Linked DNA regions of Tribolium castaneum. The protein of the gene in region 2 binds, or shares a complex with, the protein of the main gene of each other region. Links are inferred from orthologs where the notes say so. Each region holds a gene or a part of one and is shown on either strand. Other genes may lie near its edges.

What was found.
Region 1: Mms19 (region 2) and galla-1 share a complex: the UniProt entries of both Homo sapiens proteins name them as parts of the CIA complex. The link is inferred for Tribolium castaneum from reciprocal best matches to the Homo sapiens genes MMS19 and CIAO2A.
Region 3: Mms19 (region 2) and Ciao1 share a complex: the UniProt entries of both Homo sapiens proteins name them as parts of the MMXD complex. The link is inferred for Tribolium castaneum from reciprocal best matches to the Homo sapiens genes MMS19 and CIAO1.

What each region holds. Positions count from the first base shown.
Region 1 is NC_087396.1:14,604,774-14,614,706, reverse strand, and holds galla-1 (MIP18 family protein galla-1), read right to left. Parts: upstream 1,769-9,933; 5' UTR 1,624-1,768; coding exon 1,590-1,623; intron 1,499-1,589; coding exon 1,433-1,498; intron 1,381-1,432; coding exon 1,301-1,380; intron 1,251-1,300; coding exon 1,067-1,250; intron 1,022-1,066; coding exon 924-1,021; 3' UTR 911-923; exon of another isoform or gene 856-910; intron 827-855; 3' UTR 543-826; downstream 1-542. UniProt on the Homo sapiens protein: Component of the cytosolic iron-sulfur protein assembly (CIA) complex, a multiprotein complex that mediates the incorporation of iron-sulfur cluster into extramitochondrial Fe/S proteins.
Region 2 is NC_087400.1:4,134,077-4,145,303, forward strand, and holds Mms19 (MMS19 nucleotide excision repair protein homolog), read right to left. Parts: upstream 6,193-11,227; 5' UTR 6,124-6,192; coding exon 6,036-6,123; intron 5,991-6,035; coding exon 5,788-5,990; intron 5,741-5,787; coding exon 5,560-5,740; intron 5,517-5,559; coding exon 5,311-5,516; intron 5,262-5,310; coding exon 5,118-5,261; intron 5,068-5,117; coding exon 3,957-5,067; intron 3,912-3,956; coding exon 3,790-3,911; intron 3,736-3,789; coding exon 3,635-3,735; intron 3,586-3,634; coding exon 3,441-3,585; intron 3,396-3,440; coding exon 3,225-3,395; intron 3,178-3,224; coding exon 2,989-3,177; 3' UTR 2,975-2,988; downstream 1-2,974. Other genes in the region: fwd (phosphatidylinositol 4-kinase beta), read left to right, coding at 1-269, 419-1,775, 2,160-2,344; GCS1 (mannosyl-oligosaccharide glucosidase), read right to left, coding at 6,360-7,737, 7,992-8,182, 8,379-8,699, 8,747-9,079, 9,127-9,351; arginine/serine-rich protein PNISR, read left to right, coding at 9,823-10,226, 10,498-10,691, 10,743-10,897, 10,951-11,019, 11,066-11,174. UniProt on the Homo sapiens protein: Key component of the cytosolic iron-sulfur protein assembly (CIA) complex, a multiprotein complex that mediates the incorporation of iron-sulfur cluster into apoproteins specifically involved in DNA metabolism and genomic integrity.
Region 3 is NC_087395.1:25,658,661-25,668,992, forward strand, and holds Ciao1 (probable cytosolic iron-sulfur protein assembly protein Ciao1), read right to left. Parts: upstream 4,647-10,332; 5' UTR 4,501-4,646; coding exon 3,868-4,500; intron 3,822-3,867; coding exon 3,300-3,821; 3' UTR 3,286-3,299; downstream 1-3,285. Other genes in the region: uncharacterized protein LOC660444, read right to left, coding at 1-154; protein CNPPD1, read left to right, coding at 677-709, 757-856, 907-1,112, 1,164-1,292, 1,501-2,175; pkaap (A-kinase anchor protein 10, mitochondrial), read left to right, coding at 4,830-4,857, 4,910-4,993, 5,037-6,337; sugar transporter SWEET1, read right to left, coding at 7,298-7,402, 7,451-7,570, 7,619-7,901, 7,959-8,128; uncharacterized protein LOC135265320, read left to right, coding at 8,871-8,943, 9,364-10,332. UniProt on the Homo sapiens protein: Key component of the cytosolic iron-sulfur protein assembly (CIA) complex, a multiprotein complex that mediates the incorporation of iron-sulfur cluster into extramitochondrial Fe/S proteins.

The DNA.
Region 1 (9,933 bases), on a different chromosome or scaffold from region 2:
TGTTTTTGTCATTTACCAATAATTGGTGTTATTTTTTGAGACTGCTAATTAGGATTTTTTATCAGATTTTTAATTGTACTTGTTATTTGAGGCGTTATTAGTATGTCTCCTTTTTTGTTATTTTTGTACAAAATTGTGCCGTTCCTTCAATTTGTGTCTAACCTCGTGGCTTTTCTATGTTTAGGTTACAAAAGGCAAAGACTGCTACAACTGGACACTGATAATAACATTAACATTTCAAACCAAAATTATGAAATTTTGGCGAGTGAAGCAACAAATAATTGCTTGATTGAGCTTTTGGAAACAAGTGTTTTTAAAGAAAATTTTAACATTTAAGCGAAAATTTGGCGGTTATAGTATTATTTATTTATAAAGCCGATTGAAAATAGCAATAAGGACGTTTAGAAAATTTATAGAAACGGCACGAGGATTAGATTTGTTTGCAACCTAACCTTTTCTGTAATGTCTAAGTGACTTCCTTATGATTTTTAGGTGTAATTTGTAAATTATCAAATCAAGATGGTGCATAATAGAGATAGGGATGAGACAAGATATTTATATTTTACTTATGTATTTTTTCTATTCTGAAATAAACCCAAGTGTGATATCTGTTACTCATGTTTTGTGAAACCCCCAAATAGATTTTTTATTAATCACAAAACAGCGATGAGACGCTGTTTCAAAAATAGAATGAGTCTTGAAAAAAAATATGCGAAATGCTGCGTCACCGTGATTTTCAACAGTGAAACATCGAAACCAGGAAACATTTTTGGGAAATTTTCCAGAACAATTTTCTGAGAGCTTGAAGCTAGAGTCTCATTTTGTACTGAAAGGAGCAAGGAAAAACTTTATAAATACGATATAATATGTAATTCTAATAAAATAGTAAATAACATTTCGGCTTAAATACCTGGATACAAAGTTCAGTCTTCTTCAACAATACAGTTTTCTACCATTTCCCGCAAGTTTGGATTTTCCATTGCGGCTGCTATTCTCTCTTTATCGTTAATTTGCTTATTGACTAAAAAAAGATGTTATTGACGAAATGCCTTTAAACTTGACCTACTTTCGTGTTCAGTTGTGTGGGCTCCTGCCTTGATATAAATATCTAATTTAATCCTATAAGGAATACATCTTTCTAATTTTATCCTAATACACAATCCAATTAGCGTTGCTAAAGAACAGTGGGGCACAGTGGGATTAAATTCAACCCTCACAACGCTAACATTGCCAGAAGTACGTTCCTTAACCTCAAATACCATAAACTCAGCAATTTATCAAAAAAAAAGGAACAAATCACCTCAACTCCCTCCTCATAAACTACGTTTAATTCTTCCAAAGTGTTGGGTTTCTCTGGGTCCTTTATAGTGCGAATTAAATCTAAAACAACCCCTAAATTAAATTTTTACTAAAATCAGGCTCAAGCACTCACCATAAACTGTATATTTCAATTCACTATCATCTTCACTCACCTCCTTGACTTCCTTGCGTGGACTATCTGTTTTTTTCCGGAAAAATGATAAAAACATTATGTAATTTTTACAAATAACTCATGTAACGAGTAATGGTAATTGATCAGCTGTTCTAACCTTCAAATTCCACCAGCTCCAGAAGGTCAGGCATTTTGTGCTTATTTGGAAAACTGTTAAAGGAAGTTAAAAAAATTCAAGGCTTTTGTTGAGAAAATTGTCCGGCGTCGTGTGAGGTCATTTTGTTACTGATTGCCAGATTTAAAAATTATCTCAAGTTGAAGCTCTTGTAATGATAACCCAAGTTCGAAAGGTTTTGATTGTGCACGTAATAGTTAATTGTTGTGGGTTGTGGGGCTTTCATTTCCGAACAGAATTCTATAATTAGGTGAATCCATATAAAGCAATGACTTGCAGAAATTTTAAAGGTGTTGTGACACCAAATTGGCAATATACTCGTATTTTATAAATACACATAAATAAATTAAATATAATAGTATTTTTTAATTTTTTAATTTAATTATTCATCACAAGTTTTTTGGAATAAGAAAAATACCTCAATGGAAATTTACCGTAACAGATTGAGTCGACATTTTAATTGTTGATTAATATTAGTTGGTTACAAGAATATTTTTGTGTTGATGATACCTGAGATCGTACCCATATGATTATTATAAATAAAAAATATTTATAAGTTCACAATAATAAGTGTCTTTCAGTTCAATTCAATTTGTAGATTTGGTTGCCTAAACTCTCCTAATGGAATCCTTTCGAATCTAAAGTGGTTGTTGCAGGACGATTCACGGGGAATGATAAGCGTGTCCATATTCTCAATGTAACTTTTATTACCTTTCGCAACTTTGCAAATCTTTTATTAAAATTACAATTTTATGCATGAGTCCTATTATTTTCAGTCTTATTTTTCAATAAAGGCTACAAATTTACTACAGACTGTGCATAGTAAACAATTTGGAAATTTTACTAGTAGTACTAGGCCCAGTACTAGGTGATACTACTCTAAAATTGGAACAACAAAATAATCAAAAAGTAACAGTGATTGTGCTAGAAAATTGAACAAATAGCCCGGCGCATCCACCATTTTTGAACTATTTTCTACCGGGTGATTCCAAAATTCTACGAGGTCTGTGTCTGTAAAATATAACTTTGAATACACATTCTAGTAAAAACTTGAGACTAGATAAACTGGATTGTCAAGTAAATGGCAAAGATCGTGTCCACTTTATTTCTTGTTAGAAAATATGTTACTGATTTGTTGCTGCGTTGTTTGTGTGTGTATATTTGACGATATATCTCATGAAATCTTATTATTGCTTGTGTCTGGTTTGATTGTAGTATTAATTTGAAACTCTGGTGAGCATCAGATAACGCGAAATACTCATACTTTTTCACAAGTTTAAAATGACTCAGCATTATTATACGTTTTCATTTAGTTAGATGTGTGGTACTTATGTTAATTAAGGTTGAAATTGGAAGTTGTCACATGTTTTTTTACATTAGCTTTACAATTTATTTTAATTTATAAACTACTGGGATATTTATTTTGAATACTAAATTAATTCAGTTTTTGCTGTTCGTAACGTTGCATCAGACAAAGTTTTCATTCTTCAAAGTATTTTTTATAACAATTTAATAGTTTTCGAAGATTTAGTTTATATAATTGACTTGTTATGCTTGTGGCAAGATCTTTTTTATTTCCTTTTTCTTCTTGTTCTGGTTTTCTAAAAGTACCATTTCGTCAATTTATCTGTTTCTTTAACACTTGGTAAAAAACATTCATTCTTCGACTTTATAATTACATAACACTTCAAAAAGTGGCGGTTTTTATTAAAACAAACTTGGTTCAAATCTCCACTTTAATTCTTAGATGGGTAGTTAATTCAGATATCACCTCTGCTGCAGAATTCAAATTTTTGGTTTTGGTACCCAGTCTTTCGTTCAAGTTTAACTTTTCTGTCCGTTGAAATATCAAGTGCAAAATCATCACCGTTAGCACAGACGATGGAACCGTCGGAATTTATGTACCAGTTTTGGTTTATGTTTCCATTTTCTTTTTCGCAGAGTAAGATGTTGGCTCCTGTTTTACTTTCACGTTCGATGTCTAAAACTTTTCTAAGTTTGCACTTTCGGGATTAGCTTTATAAAAACAAGGAAGCGCTCACCCTTTGTTAGCCTTGTTGTGGATGAAAAATTTTCCACACTCCACATGTTCCACTTTCCACAGCTGAGTGTCGAACCTGGTGACTTGGCGGGCGGCAACAATCGTTTGTGTTCCATCTAAAACTAATCTAGACTGAGGGTTCCTTAAAATGTAGTATTTCTCCATTTGGGTAGTCAAAGTCGTGTCAGTTTGTAGTTTCCATAGAGTTGCTTTTCGCAACAATGGGGAGCGATTTTTGTGTGTGTAAATTGCGCTTTCCATAAATCCGTTCTTTCCATAAAATCTGACCCCAAGTCTTCGCGTTTCAATAAACTATTAAAGGGGGCGGACAGTCGATAGGTGGCTTTTGGAATCCTCCGATTCAGCCATCCATCTTTAATGCCGCAGCAAGAAGTAAGTAAACTTGCGCCCTATCCGCCTATTCATAAGTTACGGAATGATTTCCATACAAAATCCCGATGCTTTCAGCAACATACATAATGGATTAACCACTTCCGGAGATTCACCTGGAACTCGAGAGGATGTTTTGTGGGGTGCTTTGGTCAAACAATCCTCGACTCTGGACTCTAACAAGCAGGAAACAGGAGCCATAAAGAAGATAAACATCGACTTGATGCAGTTTTGCACGGGCGGCTTGTCTTCACAGCGAATTAGAGATGTTTGCATGCGGACGACTGGAGGGATTCGATCGGGACTAATACGAGGAAACATCAATCTTACTAATGACAACGTGATATTTTGGCCAAGAATAAACCTGGTGTGTCTACCAGACGCCGGCCGATAAATCATTTTTTTGTGCCGGCGGTTACCAGAATAAGGCAGAACACCAGGAATGTATTTATTTGTCTGATTGTTGTCTGCTTTATGAATACAAAGTTGATTTATTCCACACAATTTTATGCATTTAGGGGCCGATTGGGAAAATTGATGGGATTTTTTAAGGGTCGCTGAGCGGCCTCGGCGTATTTGGTAATTTTTTCCTTAAGAGTTATATATTTCAAACCGTAAAACTAGCGTGGACATCATTGACGTTTTGTTTGCAACGCGTTAGTTCTCTTTAGCAAAAATGTGTACAACAGTGGACTGTTATTGATTTCCAAATTAATTGAGCCGGCGGCAAGCCACGGCTGAAAACTCTCGATCCCAAATCGAAATAATTTGTATCGGCCCTTTGGGCGGCGCAAAAATTAATGTTTCAGTGTGGTCCGGCAAGTTCCATTCGGTCCGAAAAGTTTAATGCTCGATTTAAAAGACCACACTGGGACATTAACCATGATAAAAAAACGACTTCGATCTGTTTCCGAACTCGAGGGAACGTCCGACTTAATAAAGAAATAAAATGATCATTTTATATTGCACCTATCTCGTATATTTCGATTATAAACGATGTACTTTATGGGGGATTCCTTGGAGTCAAACAACTGAAAGGAACATTAAAACTTGTACTCGGGATTTTATGGGGTTCCAATGCGACCTGCTCCAGGCACGTACTTAGATAAATAAAGAGTAATTTAGAGACAAGGCGTGATGTTCGTTTTTGTCTCTGGGAGTTTTTAACTTGGCTGTGCAGTTTCGTTTTTAATCGGATTGGCGGAGAAAATGAAAATTACGTGTGCAAGTCGGGTGAGTGACGCGACAGTGGCGCCTTCTTACTGACCGTATCATTCATCACACTGACCATGATCAAAGCCAGTAGATATACTAAAGTAGCGACACGGACCTTGACAGGGCAACAATAACGATTATACACTCTACAGATGGCTCCACTATCAAAATTCAAAAACGTACGTCAAAAATGTCAAGATTTTTTCACGTTTGAAAAATTGGTGAATCAGAACAATAAATTCGGTGATCGTCTATAATTTCACCCTGGTTATTACAGTTTATGTGTACAGATACCATGAAACCTTCAAACTTGTGCTTCACTCACGTAAAAATAAATCAGATCGTCCCTAAATTCAACTGAACATTGCAATGAGAAAGGCTTTTAGAATGCGCAGAATACAGCAACTCTTATGGACATTTCGAAGAAGGTGCTGGCGCTTCAACAGTGAATTCATTCCTTAAAAGAATTTGAACTTTGTATTTAACGAAAAAGCCAAAAACACGTTTCAAAATAATAATTGTTTGATTTAAAAAAATTGTGATACTTACATTTCTAATTTTAATAAACTCCTCTCTAAGTGTTTTTACAGTTTATCGTATTTAATTACTCCAAGATTTTAAATTGGTCGATTTATTTTTTTTTAATTAAATTTAATTTTTTCCCTCAACACTATTAACAACTGCTATGAAACCAAGACATTTTTCGCAATAATAAAAGTAAGTGTTTTCAATATTACCCGAGAGGTAAACCGCAGAGGAAATCAGTGTACAAAATTGAGTAAATCAAGAAATTTTAAGGAAATCACTTTAAAAATTTAGGGAAAAATCAGAAGGAATCATGATTAAATCACAGGTGTACAAAATTTGGGGTACGGTTTACACCTCGATATTACTTAAGAAATAGAAATAATACAACCTGAATTTCTCTTTATTATTTAAATTTTGTATAACATAGTTGCTGTAAATAAGTGGCTATAAAAAGTCCACCAAACTTCGATGCGCTACAATTCCCAGATTTAGATGCATTAAATTTTCTGAAACGAAGGTCAGTGTAAGCAGAGCGGTCTTAAATTCTTTCCCATTAGGGCGGAATCTAATAATTTAGAATGAATTTTCAAGGACGTATTGTTTAAATCTACCTGAAATACTTAATGAAAATTTGGTATCTTAGAAATTTCTCTTTGAAGTTGATACCTACCACTTTACATTTCTTAATCAAATTTTGTTTGAATGAGTTTCTAGTATTATTACACAGACGTGCTTCGTAATGTGGACGACTTTGAACAGTCTGGAGGCTCCTTTGTTTAATGTTTTTGGTGTCGATTTATTATTTACGTGATTGAAGCACAGGTTTGAAAGTTCCATGGAATCTGTTCATAACCAATAACCACAGTAAAACTACAGATGAACACCAGAATCATTGTACTCTTTACCAATTTTTCAAAAGTGAGAGAATCTTGACAGTTTTGACGTATGTTCAAAATTACTGACAATTTGACGAACCTTTAAAATTACAGCGTTATTACAAAAAATGTCGAGCCTTGGAAAACTAAACTGCTTGTTTAAATACATTCTCAATTTAAATCTATCATCTAATGTGACCTTTAACGAATATCTCTTTAGAGCATCCCCTTTAGCAATTTCATTTAGTGAAGATTAAACGTAGAAACAGAGACAAAACGCACTTACTAAGGCTTTTCAAGGCTAGGCATTTTATGTAAATAATGCGGTATATGTCGAATTTCGATAGTTGCGCCCTCTCTAGAGTATATAATCGTTATTGTTGCCCTGTCAAGGTCCGTGTCGCTACTTTAGTATATCTACTGGCTTTGACCATGATGAAGCGATGTCGCTCTCTGCTGACAGTTATATGAACTAGTCAGAATGAGTTTGCAGAAAGAGAGACTCGGAGATGGCCGTAAATGTCCGCTTTAACCCTTCGCCTAGGAAGGATTGCTTTTTGCCCTTGCGTGATCATCATTATGGAAAATGTTCGATTATGAAGCCACACAATAAATGTGCTTATTTGCCATTTAATAACATAAGATTAAAAGCTAGCCCGGCGCATCCACCATTTTTATATTTGCAATTTTTAATATTTTTAAATTTTATTTTATACTGTATGTTTAATTTTTATTTCTGTTAATTTCTTGATCTATGTAGTTTGAAAGTTTTTAATTATATCAAATATTAAAAAAATGGAAATTGGGGATCAGTTCCCCAAAAAAGTGTTAACTTACGACTAAAAAGGTGTTCGAAACGGCAAGACACAATGTCCAGACTATAAAAATTTATCTTATCTGTTCTAATTTAACCTAGGCTAGAATAAGAAGGCGCTGACCAGGAGTTTTTATGAAAATTCCGGAATTTGTTAATTAAAATTCAATTATTTTATTTTTGAAAACCCATTGTAGTATATTTGTCAAACTAATCGCTATTTTATTAACAGTTGTGAATTATTTTTTTTCGGAAATAATTATCATGTACTACTCTATCAAGACACAGAACATGCATTGTTGATTTTATCTTACACCGACAGGCTTCGTAAAATTATGTGAAATATCCTGTAGTCGTGAATTTCGCCTATTTTATGTGTGATTTCATGTCGTACAATAAACGTAAACTAAACCAAACATTAGTTTTTTTAAGGATAACGTTGTTTGGTACTTATTACTTAAAATAATACTATTATGGTAATGATTAATTTATAATAAAATCTACAAAATAAACTTACAATTTGCAATTTTTCTTAACGTGCAAATGTTTAATAAATAAATAAGTTTTTAAACAAATTTAATAACTTATTTCCTAGTTTCTGGCTAAGTCGCTAATCATTTGAAAAAAATTCCTGGCGTCTGGTGTTAATAATTGTTTTTAAACGAAATAAAGTTGCGGAACATTGATTGACTGTAATTTATTGTGGGGTTGAAATACAGTTAAATTAAACTTTGTTAAGTATTTGATTAGGTTCTAGTTTTACTTAAATATGTATTTTCAAATCTAAAACAAGAAATACGATAGTTTAGAATTACAGATACTAACAATAGTATATTGATTGAAAACTACGCACGTTTTGTCCTTTTCATGTTGGTTTTTATAAATAATAGATAGCGGAGTAATAATGATCAGTCAGTATACTATTTCGTTTGATATTGATGTTTATTTATCATTCTCTTTAAAACATGATCTTTTATTCACAACTACATTACTAACCCGTTTTTTAACATTTTAAAAACATTCAGGTAAATGCAATTCATTTAATGTGAAATGATACTGATAAGATAAGTGTAATAATAATAATAATAATAATAAAATAATAATAATATGTAATAATAAATATTTGTTTGTAAACTGTTTAATCTGAAATCACATCGATTACTGAAACCAACAAGAGTTTTTAATTGTTTGTCGTGAATTTTCACTGCCGTTTCCTTGGCAATTCTGCTTCAGAAGCAAACTTTAATAACTACACTGGTTTGTTTTGTTTCGAACATTTTTCAAAGAACCGGGCTTAGTCAATTGATAAATCTCAGATATAAGTAATCCTCCCCTTTATATCCTGAACTAACCCGAAATAATGGCGATAATCTCGTCTTAATCTATGGATACACAATCTACGCCTTGAACGCTTTTCCACGGTTTTATTGCTTTGATTTTGCTCGCTTCCACTAATAAATTGTCTCATTTTAAATTTACATTCAACTTTACCATAAAATTGCCGCGATAAAAGCAAAATAAAACCAAAGTTTCGACCAAGAAATGTAAGCAAGGAGTAAAAACACCAAGTGCAATAATATTAAGTTAAATACCAACTTCTGTGTTGTTTTTCTCCACCGAAAGACGTATTTCTAGAAAACAAGCCGTACATAAGTTTTAAATTGGAGTATTTTTTGTTAAAGGGGCTTAATTAAAGGCAATCAGAGCTCAAAAAGCAACAAAATCGGTGGGTAATTTCCAATTCAAATAGGCAAAAGTTGGAAGCAATTCGCTTTTTTGCCAAAACATACAACACGCGAGCAAGACAGCAACATCCGTCTCGATTTCTCGTTTTCTCTAACTCCGTTGGGCTTTTTTAAAGTTATTTCTAGTTTACACATTTCGCACGACCATTTCGGCGCAGCGTCCGGATAATGATCTTCAAACAAGATTTAAGCACGCAAAGATGAGCGCCGATGTTCTTTCCGCGCTCGTTTCAGCCTTCTCGAGTTGGTACGCAACTGATTAACTTTATTATTTTTATCGGAATTCTTGGTACTTCATTCCCGCTAGATTTCATTGAAACGGTGGCAGACGGTTCGAACAAATAACATCGATTTGCAATAGCGCGAATTAGGGAGAACCGCCCAAGGGAGAATTAAAAATTGATGCTAAACATCGTGAATAATGCGAAGGACGGGGAGGTTCTCGCTGATATCCGCCCGACGATAAGTGTATTAAATAAATTTCAATATGAATTATTTGATGGTCGGTTTGCGAAGAGTTTAAGTGGTTTAACAGGCGCGGTCACATTCTGTAAATATTTGAGCGCTTTACCTCACCGCAGCGCCACTACCGCTTCTATTAGTTCAGAATTTTTATTTAGTTTTTCGGGGAGGAACGAAAAAGATAAGAGTTATGGTATTGGATTTAATAGTTTATGAGCCTTGGAAACGACTAGCTACGGCTCCTTTACAAAATTTG
Region 2 (11,227 bases):
ACGAACTTCGACCCAAAGACCATAAAACACCCATCATGGTCTCTACCACCTTTAGCACTCTACATTCAACAACTACGAAAAAATCACATCAACGTTCACAAAGCGACGCTTCAGCCCTTGGTACACGACGCCCTTCAACCACCGACAAACGCCTCTGTATGGGCGACCTCACCTCCGGTCGTGCCTTTGACAACGGATGCACATGTTTCGACAGTTGCAGAGGCGTCGTCAATGACCTACGAGGCAAAAAGACTGAATGCACGTGCTCGGTAAGGGGTACCCCTTTTCAGAAAATGTTAATTTCGGTCCCCAGGCTTAAAATACAAGTCCTACCCCTTTTAGAAAATCCCGACCCCTTTTAGAAAATCCCGACCCCTTTTAGAAACTGACGACCCCTTTTCTAAAAATGCGTTTTTAGGCTCCTAGACTCGCCCCCGAGCTTGAATTTATGAAAGCGCTGATTTCAATCGGTAAATTACTGTCTTCTATACCGACCAAGGAAGCAAAAACTACAAGATTAGTAGCGGAATTAACGACACTTAATTTGAATTTGCCGGCTCGTGTTTGGTTACCCCTAGCAACGACCCCACATCACATTGTTAGGATACCGCCACAAGTTGGCGCCGTCTTAAATTCCAAAGATAAGGCACCTTATATTATCTATGTCGAAGTGGTGGAAGTTGATGATTTGCATACGTCAATTGTTACACCAAAAATATGGCCAACGTTACGTCACACAAAATCTGAGGAAAATTTAGGTGATACGACCTCATTATCGGCGTTTAGTATGTGTGGGGGTTTGTGTGATGATACTGACCCCGATTGGAGTCAGGAGGATGATGAAATATCGCAACAGGTAATTTTTGGTTTACAGCACGAGGCAAGTGAGTGCCTCAAACTATATATTTTTTTTCAGTATACGCAATTGAAACGTATAGCTGATCGCGATACGTTGTCGCAAATGTCACAAGAATCGAGTGATTCGAGGGAACCCCCGATGTGGATAGCAGCCGGGGAAATACGCAGACGTTTGTCTGATTCAATTCATGAGGAAAAAAATAAACAGTTCACCCATGATCCTCAGGATCCTTCTGCCGCAGTGCTGAAGGAACCATGGCATGATAAGGAGAGACGTATTCGTGAATGTAGCCCATATGGGCATTTGACATCATGGACGCTACTGTCAGTGATAGTGAAATGTGGCGATGATTTGCGTCAGGAATTAATGGCATCGCAACTTTTACAAATGTTCCAGAAAATATGGGAGATGGAACATGTACCATTATGGGTGCACCCATATCGCATACTTTGTCTATCAAATGATAGTGGGTTGATTGAACCCATTTTGAATACTGTCTCACTCCATCAAATCAAAAAACATCGACAATTGTCACTGTTGGAGTACTTTATCAATGAGTATGGACCAATAACGTGTGAGGAATTTTTGACAGCTCAGAAAAATTTCGTACAAAGTTGTGCCGCCTATTGTCTCTTTTGTTATTTGATACAAGTGAAAGATCGACATAATGGAAATATTTTGTTGAAAAGTGATGGTCATTTAATTCATATCGATTTCGGTTTTATACTGAGTATGTCACCGAAAAATTTAGGATTCGAAACGTCGCCGTTTAAATTAACGGCTGAGTTTGTTGAAGTCATGGGTGGTGATCAGTCGGATATGTTTGAGTATTTTAAGATTTTAATTTTGCAAGGATTGGTCGCTGCAAGGAAACATATGGATATGATTGTTCCATTGGTCGAGATTATGAGATCAGGTAGGTTTTTTTTCAAAAACTTATATTTTCCAAACGGTGCATCGTACGTGAATAATTCTTTCATTTTTGGATTCAGCGGGTCGTTTTACGTAAGAAAAGATGTCGGTTTTAAGTTTATTCGGGTGAAGTAGGTTTGACTGTAGTTTGTTGAATTTTGGGAAATGTTATTTTTTGACTTTAAATTCAGTTTTTGTGGGTTGTTTTACGACGTACACATTTTTTTTTCTTTAAAATTCGGTTCTTTTACGGTAAAAATAGCTGAACTAAGAATTTTCTTGTCATACCGGGTGACCACAATTTTGCGGCCACCTGCATATCTCGGTTAAAAATGGCGCTAGAGCCGTCAAATTTTCTCTGTACAGTGTGTTTTTAACCTTGTTTCAGGTTCGCAATTGCCGTGTTTTAAATCGGGCGCAGCGACTGTCCAGAATTTGAAGAACCGTTTCCACATGAGTATGACCGAGGAGCAGTTACAACTCGAAGTGAATCGTATGGTGGAAGTCAGTATTCACTCACTATCAACGAAACTTTACGACGGTTTTCAATATTTCACAAACGGGATACTTTAAAAAAATGCTCAATTATATCATAAACACCATGTATAATAATTTTAGTGCGAAATAAAGTGATCTGATTTGCCATGTGAGTGAAGAATACTCAGCGGCCAAAGTGTGGAAGCAAAAAAACTTTGTATATATAACATTCCATTTGTACAGTTGTTTTTTAAAAATCTAGTGTTTTTTGTAAATATCTACGTAAAGTTTTAGTGTTGGCTAGATAATTCACGTTATCCATCCATTTTTAAATAAAAGTAATATATAAGTATATATTGTATAAATACATGACTGAAATTATATAAATGAAATGCAAAAAGACTGATGTCAGCAGTAGGCTTTTTGCAGGTGTTATTACTTTTTTTTTCTTGAGTTGGAAACCAATCAAAACTGTGCATGTTTTATTATGAAATTTTTGAATATTGTATTTTATTATATTATCTATGAATTGTATTTCAAATAAACGATAAATTAATAAACGATCACACTATTTTTCTATAACCAGTAAAACGGATACAAGCAAGAGGGTAAGTAACATTATACAGAAGTCGGTTTAACGTTTAACGAGCATAATGTTTGCCAAAACGAGTGAGCGCAAAAATTTCGAGGAAAAAAAATGGTGAAAAGGGTAATTACAGAAACCTGTAATGTAATAAAATTTATTTATCAAAATCTAACAAAAACCACATAGAGCGCGCCTCCACTGCTTCCCTTCGTACAATTCGTTTCTTATCATCGATTACTTGTCCTAAAACCTTTAAAACGTCATTTTTGTGAGGCAAAAGCATAAAAATTGGAAACTTAGAAGTGACTTCTTGTAAACACTGGAGGGCCAAAATTCGCACTTTCTGAAACAAAAATTAGCAAAAAAACCTGTTTTATTTTAACTAATTACCATAGATTTATCATAAGTTGCTAATTTGAGAAATCTTGCCAAAAAAATCCCCAAATTTTCCTCAATAACTTGTTCCTTAGTTGTGATAAAATCGCGAATTAATCGCAAAATTACAATGAGAATCTCATGATTGGTGGTGTGGTCAAGACACGAAATAATTAATTTCGAAATCTACAAAATTAAATTAATTGGTTAAATTCAATTTGAAATTATTACTTTTCTAAATTGGACTAAAACGGCCGGTTTTGGTGCGAACTCTAGTAAATATCCAAGGCCTGATAAATACGAATTCTTGTCTGGACTGTAATTCGCACTTAATTTATTCGTAACTATCGTAAAAAACTTCTGCTGGTACAAAAATCTACAAGTTATTTAATTAAAATTATTTAAGTGCTAAATTATCAACTTACGCAACATTGCAATGACTTTTGGTACTTAAAGACTCCGAATTGGACATAATTGTGCGAAAACACGGAGCTATACTTTCATCTTTATCCAAATAATCGATTAACTAAGGCGGAAAATTAATTAATTAACGACTGAGCTAACGCAATTAATTGCCTACTTTTGTGGTCCAGAATGTGCCTAATTCGTGATTACGCATAATTAAGGCCTTGGTGAGCCATGACGTAAGAATGGGGTCGGTTTTAGTGTCAACCCGTTCCAAAAATTCCCTAATTACATCATCTACAATTAATTGTAATAATTAATTAAAACACGGAATTAAATTACCATTGGGACATTTGTTCAAAATATTTGCAACCAGTTCTATAGCTGCGTTACGTCTCAAATTATCCCTCTCCCTAATTATAAATTCAATTAATTCGCTTAAAATTTCGTAATTAATTACAACATCGCGCCTTAAACAAGTCAAGATCCCGCTTAGTAAAAAAATATCCTCAATCTTAATTCGACTTAATTCGTTTCGAATCATTTCATTTTGTTTTTCGCTCGACATTCGACCAATCACAATTTTCAAAACAAATGCAATCGTTTCGTGACACGTATCACCAGTCAAAGCCATCTCGATCAACACATGGGTGATATTTTGTGCGTTTAAAACGTCAAAAATCGCGTCACAATCGTCAAATTTGATTAAAACTTTTTGTAATGTTTTTATTGCACAATTTTTCAAAATTAAATCGATTAAATGGGCCGTGAAAAATTTTTGATTTGCCAAAGTCACACACAAGGCGTCTAGAAAACATGGAGTATAGTTTTCTGTATTACCGACCACGTGCGTAGCCACTTCGTTCGGGTAATCCCGTGCTAAAGCTTCAAGACATTGTAAGACAGCGCCTTCTTGTGGCACTTGTAACAACTTGACGTAGTTTTGGTAAAGTAAAAGTCGGATTTTTTCGGGTAGTTTCGGCGAAATGTCACGTAAACAATCAAAAGCGATTGGTGAGTCAGATTTTACAAGTAAAACCGGTACTTCCCCGAGATTTTCTAAATCGCTGGCAAGTGCATACAAGTCGGTTAGTAGGCGCAAAAATGGTGTTTTTTCAGCCGTTGTGTTGGCTATATTATACATGTTTGTTAATATGGGGACGGTTTCACGCGCTACGAGGTTGGCAACGCTGTCCGATGCGTTGGCAACACTGATTATCAAACGTGCCGACGGTTGGAATAATTTTGAGTCGGGTAAAAAATTTCCTTTGATTGTATCGCAGATATCTTTGACCGTTTCTGTCAAATTTGGGTCACGTGTGTGCTTAATAACAGCTGTCATTGTTGTTAAACAGGCTTTTTCAATTGCTGGATTTGTCGTTTGGAACAGTTCTTTTTGTATGAGTGGCCATACTGTGGTTGGTGAAATATCAAAAGTAACAAATGATAGTTCCTACAAGTTTGGTGTTTAGTCTGCGGTCCGCTACAAAAAAAACCACTTACAATAAGTCGTAACGAATCCAATTTAGCAATTTCAAGCGAAGAATCGAATTTTTCTAACGCTAATTGAAGGGAGAATTCGGCAAATTGTGGAACGGCAACGAGGCAAAAGGCGAGCTTTTCAGCGAGGGTATTTCGAGTTATGCCCTGTAAAAAATTATTATTGATTGTCGTTTAATGGGGACAAAGTGGGCACGTTTTCGTCCTGTGGCGGAGCCCTAAAATCAACAGGGAAATAACACGCCAGGATTTCGAAAGCGTCCTCAGCCAGGTGCCCCAATTTGACTTTTCGTAAAAATTTCGGAAACCAATCAAAGAGAAAAATCAGGTTTTTGGGGCTGCGTTCGCCATCAACCGCCGAAATAACACCGTAGACAAAGTCGGGCCCCATTTCATCCAATTCTGGAAAAAAGACTGATATTGAATTTTAAAAGGGGGCCCAAACCTGGCCAAAATTTCTCCAAACAAGTCTCGAAAATTTGATAAATTGCTAATCTGTCGTTTTCTTGTTGTTGTTGGCACGAGACATTGTGGAAGAGTTGGACGAGAAAAGGGCCAGGGCCCCCTTTCGGGGCCCCCTCGCACCGAATTAAGGCGAGAAAACCGCGCAAAACGGCCGGTAACACCTAAAATCGCCCTCAGTTAAAAAACAGTAGCCCCTGGACTGACATACAAAATGATTGTCCTTAAGCCGGTCCGTGTAAAACTGATTTAAAAATTTTAATTGATTTTCGTCCAAAACATCGGGGGGCAAAGTCTCGACGACACGTGTCAACACCCACATGCCCAGCTCGCGCCCCTTGGGGCTCGTATCGATAAGGAGCCCCCCTAGGTCCTCGACAAGGCGTAACAAGGTCACTTGACCCGATTCAAGTGCTGAAAGTTGAGGTTATGTCACAATGTGGGGCCACTTGTACGTACCTTGGGCCAATTCGTGGCATTTTTCGGCAAATTCTTGGTCATCTATTGTAACATTTTCGAAATTTTTGGCCAAATTCGAAGCCATCATAACCAAACTTTTTGACAGATGATAATTGACCACGCATGCCCCAAATAACCTACTATAACCTTCATTTTCAAATTTCAAAAAATTACGCATTTAATTGCAGATTAAATTAATGACGCATTTAATTGCAGATTAAGTTAATGACGCTTCTGTAAACCGACCCTTAAACTTCCGTATAGCGCGGGTTTTATTTTTAATTTTTAAATAAAACACAGGACCGTACTTAGATTTTTATTGACTCAGTATTGCTCGCCCATAAGTAATACAACCAGGGCCGTCCAGCCCGTAAAAGGCCTACAGCCACTCCCCTCCCCCGTTTCGTCATTATACTGTTCCCACAGATAACCCGTTTTGAAATATTGCGTCATCACGTTTTTAATCACATTTTCCCGCAAATCTTTATAAATCGCGTTGGCTTTATCCCGATAGGGCCCCTCCGTATTGGCGTAGAAATACAAGGACCGGACTGCTAGAAAATTGATATTTATCCAAATTTGGCCCCTCCAATATGGCGGATCATGTTCGGTGTTGCGTTTCATATACAGGGGTGAATTTTTGGACAGTGATCTTAGACCAAACTTCGTCCATAACAAGTCAGGATTTCGAAGGTCATCCAAAATCTGGCCCAATTTCAACGAATCCGAATCAATCATTTGTAACAAAAACGGAAACAAACTGACGTAACCGAAAGTCGAGTCGACCAATCGGTATTCGGGATTTTTCAAGGTCACACGCACCATCTCCATGTTTTGGTTTTGTGACCTTGGTAACGGTTTCGGTCGTTTTAATTTAACAGAATCAGTGTGGTAACCATAATCGGCGTAACGCGATGCGTAATTAGACCAATGTAAATTATCCAATAGGAAATTGTCTTTCAAATAATCGGCAGTTTGTTCGTATTTATACCCATCACGGTCCAACAGTGTTGCCAACCTTGCTAAAGTATCACTAGCTATGGCGATCCAACAGTATAGATCGACGTGGTATTCGGCTTCGGTCGGATGTGACGCTCGTGGATAATCGTCAAGGCCCGAAGTTAAAGTTTTCGGATTCAGCTCACGATTGGTTGTTGCGTCACGCCCCCTCCACCGGTACATGCCAGGCCCCGCCCCTTTTTGCGTGGTATTAAACCATGCAAACCACGCCTGTAACCTTGGATACAACCGTTCCAGTGTTGCCAAACGTCCCTCGCTCAACTTATCGTAATATTTACGCAAAATGTATTGCAACGTGAGGAAGAAAGTCGGCGGATTTGCGTTAGTATTTCGTTGGACGATAAATTCTTCGGGTATTTTCGCTATAGCTTCAACACCCAGGATTTGTTCACGGGGGATCCACCCTTCAACGTTCATCAAATCGAACCAATGACTGATAATGTCAAGTTCAAGGTCAAGGTCCCACGTTGCGATCAGAAAGCCATGGAAACCTTCGTCCCATAGAAAACCACGAGGGAAAAAACTTCGAGACGGGACTGCTGTGTATAAGGGGGCGTGCCAATAGTGCACCGGTTCTTTGGTGTAGAAACTTTGCACTTTGGAAGTGCCGTAAAAATAGCCGATGCCTCCCAGCATGTTACTGAGGGCCGATTGGGCGAAGGTCACCTCTTTCGGACCATAACTAGAAAAAATCAAAATTGGCCGATTTGAATAAAAACAAGTGCTAACGATCGCGCTCGGCGCAGGACTCAAAAGTATGAAAAATTTTCGAAATCTGACCACAAACGAAAAAGTTATCGACAAAATTATGATAATAGTCGGTCAGGTCAAAGTTGGCGGAATTGGACAAAAACAAGTACCAACGATTACACTCGGTCTAGTGGTCGAAAGTATAAAAAAATTTCAAAATCGGATCAAAAACAAGTAAATAATTACCCTTTTTTGTGTAATCCAAAGGTATCCTCAAACCTTTGTCCAAACCTGGCCACGTGCCAAGCTAAAGCCTTGCTGTAAGTCTCCCCCACCAGCGTATCCTGTCTTGTACCGAAACTACCCGATTCGAAAACGACATCGATCGAAAACGGGACTTTACCCGTTAATTGTACGGCGACGAAGTTTGGTTGTGCCTACAATATTTTTTCTATTACCGTGCACTCAATTCTGATCAAGTGGCCTATGATTTCGAAATTAAGTTGTCAACAATGCCAATAGACCAGCGCCGTCTAGTTTCAATAATTAAATAAAGATTACTGTATTACCGACAGGCGGGAATTTTAAACTTTCGAAATAACGGGCCACTTATTCTCTGTGCACACGTAGTACTTTTCCGGTGCCCGTTTCCGGGAGTATTTCCCCGCCCAAAACAATACGTCTGGGGGAATTTGGTTTGTCCTGTGCCAGTCTTAGTGACCCCACCACTGTTTCCTTGAGTAGGTGAAGTCCCGGGGCTACCGTACTCAAAAACGATTCATGACTCACAACACCGGAATTATTCGTAAACTTAATAGTGAATTCCCCTAAACCGGTAGTTTCCCCCTTAATTCCGGTAAATTTCGTAGCAGAATTAGTAAGCGAGATAAAACCTTTCGTTTCCTCATCTAACGCTGTATACCAGATGAGTGAAACATCCTCACTTGCCCCAGGCTGCAAAACCCAATTACCAAATTCGCAAAAAATCTCCAAATTTTTACTTTGGTGACACTGATCCGAGCCGTCCAATCGCCCCCATGGCTGCCCCCAAGTCGCTTAACAAACGACGTATCGATATTATAGCCCCCATCGATAATTTCCTGTACCCCAAAATTACTACCATCATGTTTAACCCACCCATATTTTTCCAACCCATCACCTTGTTCACACCAATGACGTATCCCATCACCCCCTGGACGCAACCTTTTGGGGAAATACCACATTAAACCGGTGACAAGTGACGTGGGGTCACGTGTTTTCAACCCGAAATAAAGCCCCGGCCTGTACGTCCCCCAAAATTGTTCCGGGACTTGTAGCCCACTTTTGACAACCATCTAAAATGAAAATTTACCAAAAGTGGGGACAAGTGTACCAATTGCACCTTCTTATCGTCGAAGGGGGTATTGACACGTGTCTCCAAGTACCCCATGTAGCCCAGAGACACCGCAATTCCCAGAACAATACAACCGATGATTTGCTTCCAGTATGAAAGGAGACTAGTGGATTTTGAAGATCGGTTGTTGGTAGAGTTGCTACCATTGCTGCTGCTACTGTTTGTACCTTTATTGGGGTCTGCGGCGCCCTGAGTCCGTCTCTGACGTGCCATTTTAGGGTTAGGTTTTGATGGCACCCGAAAAGCAATTTTTAACCCGACTTTACTACACTGGGGGGTTTAAAACGGCACTGGAAGGATATTTTCATTGATTGTTCCGCTTTTTTGTGTCAATTTCGTGCTTTATTGCTGATTTTTTATTGACATTTGTTACCCCACCAGTGGTACCAATTGAGAGATAAGCACCGTTTTTGTTGTTTTTAGCCCGACTTTGGGCGTTTTTGGATAAATTGTGACCCGTGGGGTCCATTTCACGCACAAGTGGGTCGCGGTCTAGGGCTTGAAAGCCCAAATTTAATTTTTCGCGTTGCAATGTAGTATTTTTTGGTTGGTCGTGTTGGTGTTTAGTTTTGACAATCTGGTGGGAAATGTAGCCGGTTTTCGCTCATTTTCCATAGAATTTGGCCCAAAACTAGTGACAATCGCAGTGAAAATTGTTGATTTCGTGTCGTTAGTGATGTAGGAATGTACTCGGGTAGTGATTCGACCGAATCTCAGACCTACCCTCAATGGGCACTCAACCCATCAACGTACCAAAACATGTCCAACGAGCAAGTGGATTGGGCCGCTTTGGCCCAACAGTGGATCATAATGAAGGAAGCGGGGCCACCACCAGTTATTTCGAGCGAAAAGGCCCCAAAAAATGAGGGTGGCGAAGCCCCCATGGACGTCGAAGACAAGGACGAATCGCTTGAATGGCACACGCAGAATGAGTGGAGTTGGAATGCGCAGAACCAGCCGTGGGGCTGGACGCCCCCCATGGGGGTGCCACCCCCGGTGCCCCTAAAGCCCCCTCTTTTGCCCACGCCCGCCAACTTTAACTATAATGCGCCCCCTGAGAGCGTCAACGACAACGCCAATTTCACTGGGTAATTAATTATTTATTATTTTTTTTACAAATCAATCGATCGGCTGTTTTCGGATCTGTCAATCGGTGGCGCGACATTTGAATTTTTCGGTAAAATTAACCGTAAACCGACTCGAAACATGGATTTTTCATTGTTTTATTAATCTCGCTTTAATAAAATTTTTTTTTTGGAAAAATCAATTTTTGGGCTTAAATCAACCGTTCGGGTGCGTTCGGTCGTGTTCGACTGTCGGCGCGAAATTTGAATTTTCGCCCCAATTTTGGCGTTTTAGCTACTCTACTGTACCCCAAAACGACTATTCGTCGGGTTATTGGACTTCTGCCGGAAGTTCAAAACAAGTAAAGCCACACAATCGACGATTTAGTAAAGTTAACGTTCCACGACCGGTACAACCCCTAATCAGTGAAACACAGCCAACTTTGGATGCCACGAAACGTAAACAATTGCCGGCTTGGATACGTGAAGGTTTGTATTTTTTGTTGTTGTTTGGGTCACGTGATACAAATACTCGTCCAGGATTGGAGAAAATGGAACGTGACAAATTGAAACAATTGGAGCGCGAGAAGGAGAAACAAGAGAGAGAGGAATATAACGAAAAAATGAAACAAAGTGAGAAGGAAACAATGGAGATTTTAAAATCGACGATTAAAGAACAACAAAAGTCTAAATTTGTGAGTTGGCTATGGATTTCTGACGTTTCAAGTGATTGTGTTTTGTTAATTAGGAGAGTGATAACGAATCGGAGGACGATGATAAGAAGGCTGTGGAACCAGTGCTGACACCTGCCGAACAAGTAACCAAACCATTGTTGCCAACTTTTCTTGACCAAATGTTTACAGATGATGAATGTGAGGAGGACCATGACTGAAATACTTCTCAAAGTGACAAATCATGAAATTGAAAATATCTGTCGCGAGGAATTGCAACGTTACCACAAAAAACACAAAGGTATCGGTATCCAGCGGTCATTATGTAAACAATCGAATAAAAAAAAATTGCTA
Region 3 (10,332 bases), on a different chromosome or scaffold from region 2:
TTGTACTAAAATTAAGTTTGATATGTTGTGTTTTCAGTGCATATCTACATGGAGCGAAATTCGTTAGCTTAGTTCGGGGCGTCCAAGTGATGCGGTGCGCCCCCCTGTTGATCACTTTTGCTAAATCTAAGTGTCTCACTAGTTTTGTTGCCATTGTGGGGGCTATTTATTTAGTTAGGGGGAGGAGTATCAACTTGTGGCCCGCACGGAGGGTGTCATTTTGTAACTATGGCACGACTCTAACACCCACACACTCCCAAACGCGGTTTTAGTTCGAAATTGTTTGAAAATTATTTAAATCACTCAGGAATCATCTGAATGATCCCACTCCACCTGTGAGTGAGTGAGTCTAGCGGGCTGACGTCACGTCACGAAACGGCGCCAAGTTTGAAATTGGGCCTATATTTTGCTATTTTTGGCACTTTTTCGTGGTTTTGTGGGGTTAGATTATAAATTAGTTGTGTGCTTGGGTCTGTGATGGCCACCAAGGGCGAAGTTGCAAGTTTGGTTGGTTTATTTAGAGTTTGAAAAAAATTGAGGTTAGGGGGCCACGCGCATGTCCGGTGACATTGCCAAGGTCCATGATTAAAAAAACACTGATTGCAAATCTGTGATTAATTATACGCAATTGCGAATCATACGACACGTTTTGGGGCTGTTCCAAGTGGGTAAGACAATGTCTAAGCTTCCGAAACGGGTAAAGGATAAGGTGAGACTTGGCCCCCTTTTGCAAAAATCACGCGTTTGTGGCTTTAGAGACACATAGGGGAGCACCAGAAGTACATTTCGCGGATCACCAAGACCCTCTATTACGGTAAATTCCCCAAGACAGATGAGCTGAGTCTGCCTGTAACAGGTGGGTGTGTTTGTTGTGTTGTAAGTCAGTAAAAAACGTGTTTTTGTTAGAATTAGCCGCAGAGCTGTTCTCCGAAGCCCAGAAAGGCCGGTCCTTGGACAGGCTGCATTGTGACGATGCTGCGAATATTTCAAGAAATGCCTGTGTGTCCCCTTGCTCTTTGGTTATTGCGATTTTGTATCTAGAACGCTTGAAAAAGACATGCCCTGAGTATCTCGAACGCACGGCTTCGTCTGACTTGTTTTTGGTTTCTTTGGTAAAATTTGAATCACAATAAATTAGCGAAAAAACATTAAGTGGTTTCTAGATGGTTTCATGCAAATTTCTCTATGATGACGGTGAGGCAGATGAGGTTTTTATGAACGAATGGGCCCTTTCAGGGGGCATGAGCGTCAAACAGTTGGTTCAGCTAGAAAAGGAGTTCCTCAAAGCTATTGTAAGTATTCAAGACTGTTTTAAACAATAAAAAAATTGTAAAAAAATAGTATCATACTTAGGGTTATCTCTGATAGTTACGGAGTTATTGCTCGATAAATCGCGACAAAAATTGGAAAAATCAAACAATAAAAAATCGAACATAAGGTCAATGAAACTATGCTAGAACGAGTTTAAAAAAAATTGAATCCCAATTTTTTTTTCCTTAGGACTGGGAAGTCTTCGTTACTGAGCTGACATTTTGGAAGAAACTGTCCGAAATCGAAACGACCTTGGCCCGCAACCAGGGTGGAAAACGCGGCTTTTACACCTACACCGAACTAGAGCGTCTTTTAACAAGCGTCGAATTGCGAAACCTCATCCAAAACATTTTGACCATTTCTGTGATCCTCATTACGGCTTACACGGCCGCCTTATTGACTTTATTGGGCTCTGTCTTGATTGTTAGCCACATTCCGGGGGCTTGTCTTCGCCCGCAAATCGAAGCGCCGCCCTCGGAGCCCCTCTACAACGAAACGAACCGTGTGAGCCCCCTCCATGTCGGAATTTTCCTCGCAAGTATTGAGAGTTTTCTGACACCGTTTTGCAACAAAAGTGAGACTCAAAACGTATCCTGGGACTGGTGGAGTGCCCCCACGATGACATGGCTCTACGAAACGTCGAAATTTGTCGAAGTTGAGGCTCCGACTTTGGGTTTTTTGGACTTGAGACGATTCTATAAGGATTATTTTTTGAAATTGGATTTGGAGGATCAAGTGCATAAGGAGACGAAAGTTAGGATTCAAGACCAGTTGGAGAGGTCGTGGCACGAAGAATGGACGGATACGATAGGTGATGGGTTTTATAACAGGTACCTGCATTACCTACAAAATCTCAAAGCCTGATTTGATTGGTCAATAAAACCAAACATTTGACACGATTGTTTATTCACCAGCCTACTCAAACTACAATTAATGGGTCTTTATCGACACTTGAAACAATAATATTGACTGAATTTTGCAACAAATCACTCAATTGTTTCTGGAAACGCCCCAAAAAGCCCCGTTCGGAATTACTATGTTCGCAGAGAATCACATGAACCCCGTTTTGCGTAGCATCCAGGACTTCATGGTGGGACATTTCCCCCGTTAGGTACAAATCGCTCGTGAGCCCCTTTAAAACCGAAGCCCCCGAACCGGCACACAGCCCCACGGTTTCAATCCTCGCATCTGAAAATCACTTTCGTTTCACTCAATTTCAAGGGCGTGGCTTACCTAAACCTTTGTTCCTAGCCAATGCGAGTCGCAGATGCCCCACCCCGACATGTTTTTTGACATTTGCGACCGCGGTTTCCACAGTTATGGGCGTGTCTAGTGTGAGGATGCGCCCCGCCCCTTGTCTCGGATTTTCCAATGGTTTGATTGGCGCAATGTTTTTAAAAGCGAACGCTGAGGCTAGCCAATCATTAACGCCCCCTTCGACACAATCCCAGCTCGTATGGGGCGAGTAAACCGCAATTTCATGTCTAATACATTGGATTACGATTCGTTCTTTCCAAGTCCTGTGACAAAACGATTAGTTTTGATTGGCTGTGTAATTTGGGGCGTACTTGTCAGAGACTGTTTTAAGGCCTTGAAAGATATTAGGGTGATAGGAGATAATGAGCCCCGCTTGGAAGTTTTTAGCTTCATTGACCACATCCTCAGTGAGGTCGTTTGTTAATAGAATTGTTTTGACCTGTTTGTCGGTCATTGGGTCCACCAGGAGCCCCACATTGTCCCAGCTCTCGGCAAGGGTCAAGGGGGCGTAGGATTGTAAAGTTTTGACGATTTCTTTGACCGACATTTGGGGGCCCGTGCTGTAGTAATTTTTAATCCGACTTAGGGCCGCCAACCGTCTTATTAACATCTGTGGAACGAAAAAGTAATCTCAATGGATGGGCGACAGTAGGCTGTGACGTTCAATTGTAAACAATTGACATAAACAGCCGCCTATCCATCAAAGAAAAACAAAGGAACGTCAAACAATTTTATTCAGGGATAAATTTCCACAATTTAATTTCCCCGTCGTCGCTGCACGACACTAAAATATCACTAAGAAGGGGGTTCCAGGCGACGCAGTTGACATCCTGGGCGTGCGCCCTCTCAATGCAGGTGACTTGGCTAAACGTGGGGGCCTCTAAGTCGCCCCCTTCCTCCTCTTTAAAAATTCTGATAGCGTCGTCACCGCAAGCGGTGGCGATCAAGTCACTTGAGTGGTTCCAAGACACGTCATAGATGGTTCTGTTGTGGTACCCCGACATGGTACACACACATTTCCACGTTTCCTCCGTATTTTGGCCCTTTTGCCAGATTTTCAACGTGGCGTCGTCGCTACACGACACAATCCTTGTCCCCGTTTTGTCCCAACTTATGCTCCAAACCGTTGACTCGTGCCCCTGTAAGGTGGCAAAACAAACCCAGTCGTTGTCTGACTGGTCCTCTTTGAACAACTTAACCGTGTTGTCGTAGGAGGCCGAGGCGAGGATATCGTCATGTGGGTGCCACACGACCTGCAACAACCTCCATAACAACAAAAATCGCCCCCTTGCTACCTACTTTCTTCACATCCTGTGTGTGCGCACTCAACACGGCCGCGCAATCATACTCATCCTCCTCGGCAATCTCCCAAATCCAAACCGACTTGTCACGGCTACAAGTGGCCAAAAATCGCCCCGACTTCGACCAGGAAACACTCTTAACCTCATTTTCGTGCCCCTCAAGAGTGGCATTGCACTCGAACTCGCCCGATTTCTTGTCCCAAATGCACGTAGTGGTGTCAAAGGAGGCCGAGGCGAGGTAATTGCCACAGGGGGACCACGCAATTTCCCGAATTGTGCGTTTGTGGCCATCGGTTAGAATTACTTTATTCGACCACTTCGAGTCCGAGTCTTTCGACCAGATTCGGATGGTCTTGTCTTCGCCACACGAGGCGAACGTTTGCCCCTTCGGGTGCCAACTCACGTCCCAAACGCGCCCCGTGTGCTTGCATAAAGTTTGAAGGGGCTCAAGCTTTGACATTTTGGGGTTAGGGTCGCGAACAACGACAGGGTGGTTAAAAAGTGGTCTCGGGGGACGCACGACGTGCCAAAAGGGGGCAAATGTACTTAAGGGGCTTACCAATGCCACAAAACGTGAAAAAATGGGTGATTTTATTACGTTTTTGCTTCGTTGAGTTGGCCGCACTGTCATTCAATGCAGCCAACGCATGATTATTATTGCGTTTTTTTGCAATTATTTACCAATAAAATTGCGTACTTAAGTGCAAAATCAATTATGTTTCTTCTAAATTAATTGTTCGCTTAATTTTGAATTTTTTTTTCGTGGTTGAATGTGCGATTTTTGTTTTTTTTTGCCGTCGGTGTGGCCAGCCTCATTTGACGTTTACATTTTTTGTGCCGTGAATCACAATCAACTTTGTTTATCAAAACAATCGGTTTTGTGGGTGTTTTGGGGCCTCTTGGCACTGTTGGGTTGATCGGACTCGCCCCCGCCCCCACAACCCATCATTACGATGAACCATGTTACAGTTTTGGAGGAAATCAAAAGGTGCGTAATTTCGTAATTGATGTTTGGGTTTTCCTAATTAGTGTTTCCAAAGCCGGCAATGACACGAAATGCGCAGCCCCAGCGGTGACGCCGCGGCCCCGGCCCCCGAAGCCGCCCCCTCTGGACCTCGATATCGGTGAGTACGAAATTGTAGAAATTGGGGTTATTGTGTCTTAAAGATGAGTTTGAGGCAACGAGGTCACGGCTATGTCGGACCTTGGACGAGGTTTTGGGCGATAAGGGGGCTCTGGGCTACTTTACCCAGTTTATGGAGGCGCGAAACGCCGCCAAATTTATCAATTGTTGGGGGGACATTGAGTCGTTTAAGTGTGAGATAAGTACGGATTGCGACTCCAGTGACACCCAAAATTCGAGTGATTCGTGTGAATCTAGTCTAGTTGAGGGCGCTGTTGCGATTTTTAAAAAGTACATAGCTCAGGAGTCCGCTCACAATGTTAAATGCCCCGAGTCAGTTCGTAACGAACTCGTTGAAAACATTTGTGACTTGGAGAAAATCGCCAGTTGTTTGGACCCCGTTCAGAGTTTCGTTACCGAAGTCATGGAGAAGGAGTATTTTGAGGCGTTTTTAGCCAGCGATTATTTCTGCAAATACCAGATCGATGTTTTGACGAGTGGCCAAGTGGCCCTTGACGATATTCTCTACAACGAAACGGCGCTTTTCTACTTTATGGAGTTTCTCGAACAGGAGAATTCGTGCAATTTGTTGGAGTTCTGGATCGCTGCCACCAACTTGCAGCAACATTTGACCAATCAAAAGGAGTTTTTTGACCCAATTGAGGCCCAAAATGACGCTGTTGTGCTCTACGATAAGTATTTTTCGCTGCAAGCCCATTGTCCGTTGGGTTTCGGCGATAAAGTTCGCTTCGAAATCGAACAAAATATTTGCGGGGAGAACGGACTTGTCTTGGATTGTTTCAAGTTGCCCTTGAAAATCGTCGAACAAGTGTTGGAGAAAAACTATCTCAAACCGTTTTTGGAGTCACAGTTATTTTGCAAATATCTGTCCGAGTTGATAAACACCGTTCAGTCTAACGATTATTTTAATCTCGAGAATAATCGGACGCTTTCGTCCGATTGCAGCAGCGAGAAGAGTTTCAGTACAAATAGCGCATTTCTAGCGTTAGAGTTAAACTTTAATAATAATAATTGTAAAAAGAAGGATAAAAACGCAGATATGAGTATCGACACGAGGCAGTTGTGCGACCCCGATTCGCTCTGGAAGAGGAGACGAACGCACAGATTATCCTGTGGGAGGATCACAGCTTTGGGTAAATTTGAAACTGATTTGGAGCCAGAACCTGATCGGAAAAGTTTCAAGTTTAAAAATGTTGTCAAGAAGTTTGTGAGTCTCGACGAGGATAAAAGGAAGGAAGAAATGGCCTGGCAAGTGGCCGAAATGATCGTCAAAGATATTACAAATGTTACTCTAAATCAGGAAAAACCATCATCTTCATTGTGATAATGTCAGAGAGCTCAAAAATGTTGTATGTACGGCGGCGTGTGATAGAAACTTCCCACTTTTTTTCAAAGGCTGTGTTTCCCCCCGTGAATTGAGTTGGTAGCGCTGCGATCGGATGGCTCTGTAGGTTAGTCATTGGATTTTATTATTTTTGTATGATTGCATTTGTTTGTAAATACTTCTTTAATGTATAAACATATTTATATAATAAAATATTTTAACTAGTTGGCGGTTTTATTTTTATATTAAAAGGCGTAACTCCTTGGATTGAAACATTTCCATTTCAGTCTTATAATGAATTAAACGTATTTGAAATTTAGTTAAAATTCTACAGCACGCCACTGAGATAAAATTGTGTGATCTCGACAAAAAAATCTTCGCAAAAAAGACGATTTGTCGTTGAAATATCTACCCTTTTTTGTCGCCGCTTACGAAATGATAAGGTCAGTGCGGGTTGTGTCTTTCTATGCGAGCGTTGTTACCGCAAGATTTATCGGATAGTGTAACTTAGTGCGAGTGCTTGGTGCAAAAATGTGGTCAAATACCGAATTTCCCGAATTGCGCAAGAGTCACGACACCTTTTTTCAATGTAAGGTAAGTCAGGAGTTACTCCAATCAAACATCTCGCAACAAACATTTTGGTTAAAAAGTGCGTTCAACCGTTTATTTAGGGTGTATCAAAAATACGTGTGTTAAGTTAATAAATCTCTAAAAGGGCCGTTTATAGAAAACTTTCTTAAAATGTAATTCGTTGTTAAAAAGCGCGAATGGACCAATCACATTTGTTCAGTTTGGTCACGTGACCGCTGATTTTGGTCACAAAATGAAAAACCCATTTAATTTGAATGATTTATTCAACTAAGGCGTTGAAAATAACATTTGGCGAAAACTCAGCTCGCTGCCGCCGCTGCCTGGAATGTGAATTATTCAATACTTAATTCTTTAATTGTTTGCCCTTTTTTAATGCTTCTTCTTTTTTTTGCTTACTTGTCTCCCGCCTCCTGGATAAGCAAAAATTAAAATTAACTGGACGAAACACAGCACAAACCCAGCCACGTTTTGAACCTTGAAACGTAGAAATTAATAATTTTCCCACAATTAGTTCAAACTCACAAGCATGAATTCATTTTTTAAAATAATGGCGTACAAAAGCCACGAGAAGGTCACCAAAGTCGCCATTAATGTTAGAACGAAGGGGATTTCAGAGGCGTCTTTTTTCTCGATGATTTCTTTCTGCGATTAAAAGTTAGGGGGCTAAAATGTTTTGTTTTGATTACGTACAACTCCGAGAAGGGGGCTCCCCAAAACGGCAAGCATCAGTATTGTGACAATCAATCCGTAGCGAAATTCGACCACTGAGGGGCTCTCATACTCGCAATAGCCCCACAAGACCGCAACAAAAGCCATGCTTATGGAGAGGGGCTTCAGGATTTGCTTCCACTTGTCATTCGAGTAAAAATAATAGACGATGCAGTAAATTACGTTAAGGACGATTGCGAATAAGTTTACTAGCAGCATGTTTTCGTCCCCAAGCATCAAACCATATTTCAGCATTGCCAACCCTCTTATAATAATTAAAAATTATTATTTTTTTCTTCTACTAAAGATAATTGTGACTTACAACATGATACCGCCCACAAACGGCATCGAATTCACACCGTCAGTGTTGCCTTTTTTGTAAATGTCTCTACAAATGAAAACCCCCGAGAAAAATTGCAGAATTGTGAGGTAACTGGCCACCGTCCCCACGGTGTCTTTGTGGGGCTGTAGCGTCTGCGAGAGTGACTCCATTGCGAACTAAACAACCTGAAACTAATTACGACTTAAATTAACGCTGAATTAAAAATTCTGATTAGAAATGTGACACTGACAATAATTATGAATTAAAAAATTATCCATGGTTATAGAACGATTAACATACAACAAAAGTGTGGTATTTATCACTGCACTAGAGGTTGATTGAGGTCAAATTCATTTGAACCCCTTCTTCCAAATTAAACAACAAGGAGACAATACTCGCCGTTTACGAATTCGCAGCAGTGTTATAAGATATTTTATTATCTAATCGCAATTTACTGTTAAGCCTTGACACGATGACAAGCAAATAAATCCACTTTTGAAAATGTAGTGATTACAATTTTTAGTACTGGATGCAATAATCAATCCAGGAATCGTTTAATTGAGATTGCCGCTCGCAATAATGAAGAATTAATGATCTTCTCGTCATGTCCTTGACTGTGACCTTCGTCCCCTTATCTCACAACCCCATCCTAACCTCACTTTTGACATGTGTCAACCTAACTTCAAAAAAATTGTGACCGACTAAAAGTGCTTAAAATATCGTCAATAATTGGAAAAAAATCACACTTCTAACAACAGAAATGGTGCTTATTGGTACATACCCCACAAAATAACGTTTCTATTCACAAAATGTGAATTAACTTTCTAATAAAAGTGTCAAGGTAAAATAATTTTTTCGCCAATTTTGCAATTTTCCGCACAATTGTAGGTGTTTGCAGTTTTAAAAGAAGTCATGGATTTGTGGAATGCAAAATATTTGAAGCCCCCACCCATCATTAATTGCAAAATCAGCACCAAAGAAATAGGTAAGAGGTCATTTTGATTGAAAAGCGCCAAATTGTTGTTTTGGACCAAGTCACGTTTAAACATTTATTTGGAAAATTAATACAAAGGGAAGAAAAATATTGTGAGGTTATGTCACACCAATCGAGTGATTTTTACGAAAATTGTGCAATTTTCCGGCACCAGTCGGGAAAAAACGCTAGTTTTTTCAAATTATGATAAATTTATACGCTATAGTTACGTAAAACGGGGCTTTATTGCGAAAAAAACTGTCGAGACGTTAGTGAGGTTGTCTTTATTTTTTTATGAATTTTATAAAGGACGCTTTATCTCGACATCGTAACTCGCTTTTGGCCTATTGAAACAATAATTTAAGTTATTTTGGCCCGAAATTCGATGGTAAAAGTGAGGTTATGTCACTTCCAATTTTTTAATTTCTGCAGATATTCGCCTTTTAAAAATTACGCTAACCGACGCTGTGGCCTTTTTCGACAACCAGCAGCACCTCTGCACCGAGGCAGCGCTCCTCTCACGCACCGTCTACCGCCTCAAAATGAAATTTCGTTCCTCTAAAGACTTCAAAGCCGTCGAAAAACTAAGTCGTGTCTTGCGCACCTATCTCCAAATGCAATTCTCCACGACGCTCAAATACGTCCTCGACTTGATCCCCCCAAATTACAAAGTGTTAAAAACATTTTTTCTGACTAAAAACATGATTGATTTCCTCCTAGTTCGCCTCCAGGGTTTGGGTAAAACGTTGTGTCGCGTTTTGGACACTTGTAAGGTGATTTCCGAGCTGACCTTGCAGCGGTTTCGTTTGGGTCATTTTTGGAAAATAGCGGCGATTGTTTATGCAATTACGGCGCGCATTTTTGTGATTACTAGGGGTATTTTTAAGTTTGTGTGTGAGTTGTATGGGAATTTGTTGCCGTTTTCGGGCATGTTGGCCAATGCAGGGGGGCAGTGGTTGCCCGATGGGTACGTTTTCCCTCCCAAATTGAAGGATTGGTTGGGGGTTGATTGGCTGAATTTGGAGGATAATGTGATTGAGATACCAGACGATGAGCCGAGTGTCGCATTTTTCAAGTTATTGGATGATTCCGATGATGAGGTCGAGTTTTGTGATGAGTATATTGTGGTGAACGACGAACCTTCAGTTCAGGAAGTCAAAGATTCGGATGTTGAATTGTGTGAAGATAATGTTAGCAAGGAAGAAGAATCGGATAATGAGGTTGATGTCGGGGAATTGGTCATAGTTTGTGATAATAAAGATAAGGCACAGATTCATGACGATGTTGATGTTGGGGATCTTGTCATAGTGTGCGACAATTCGAAAAATGGGACGAAAGGTCGGAAGAGACCTTTGGAAAAGCGCGAAAATTCAAGTGTCATTGTTTTAAATGATAGTGTAT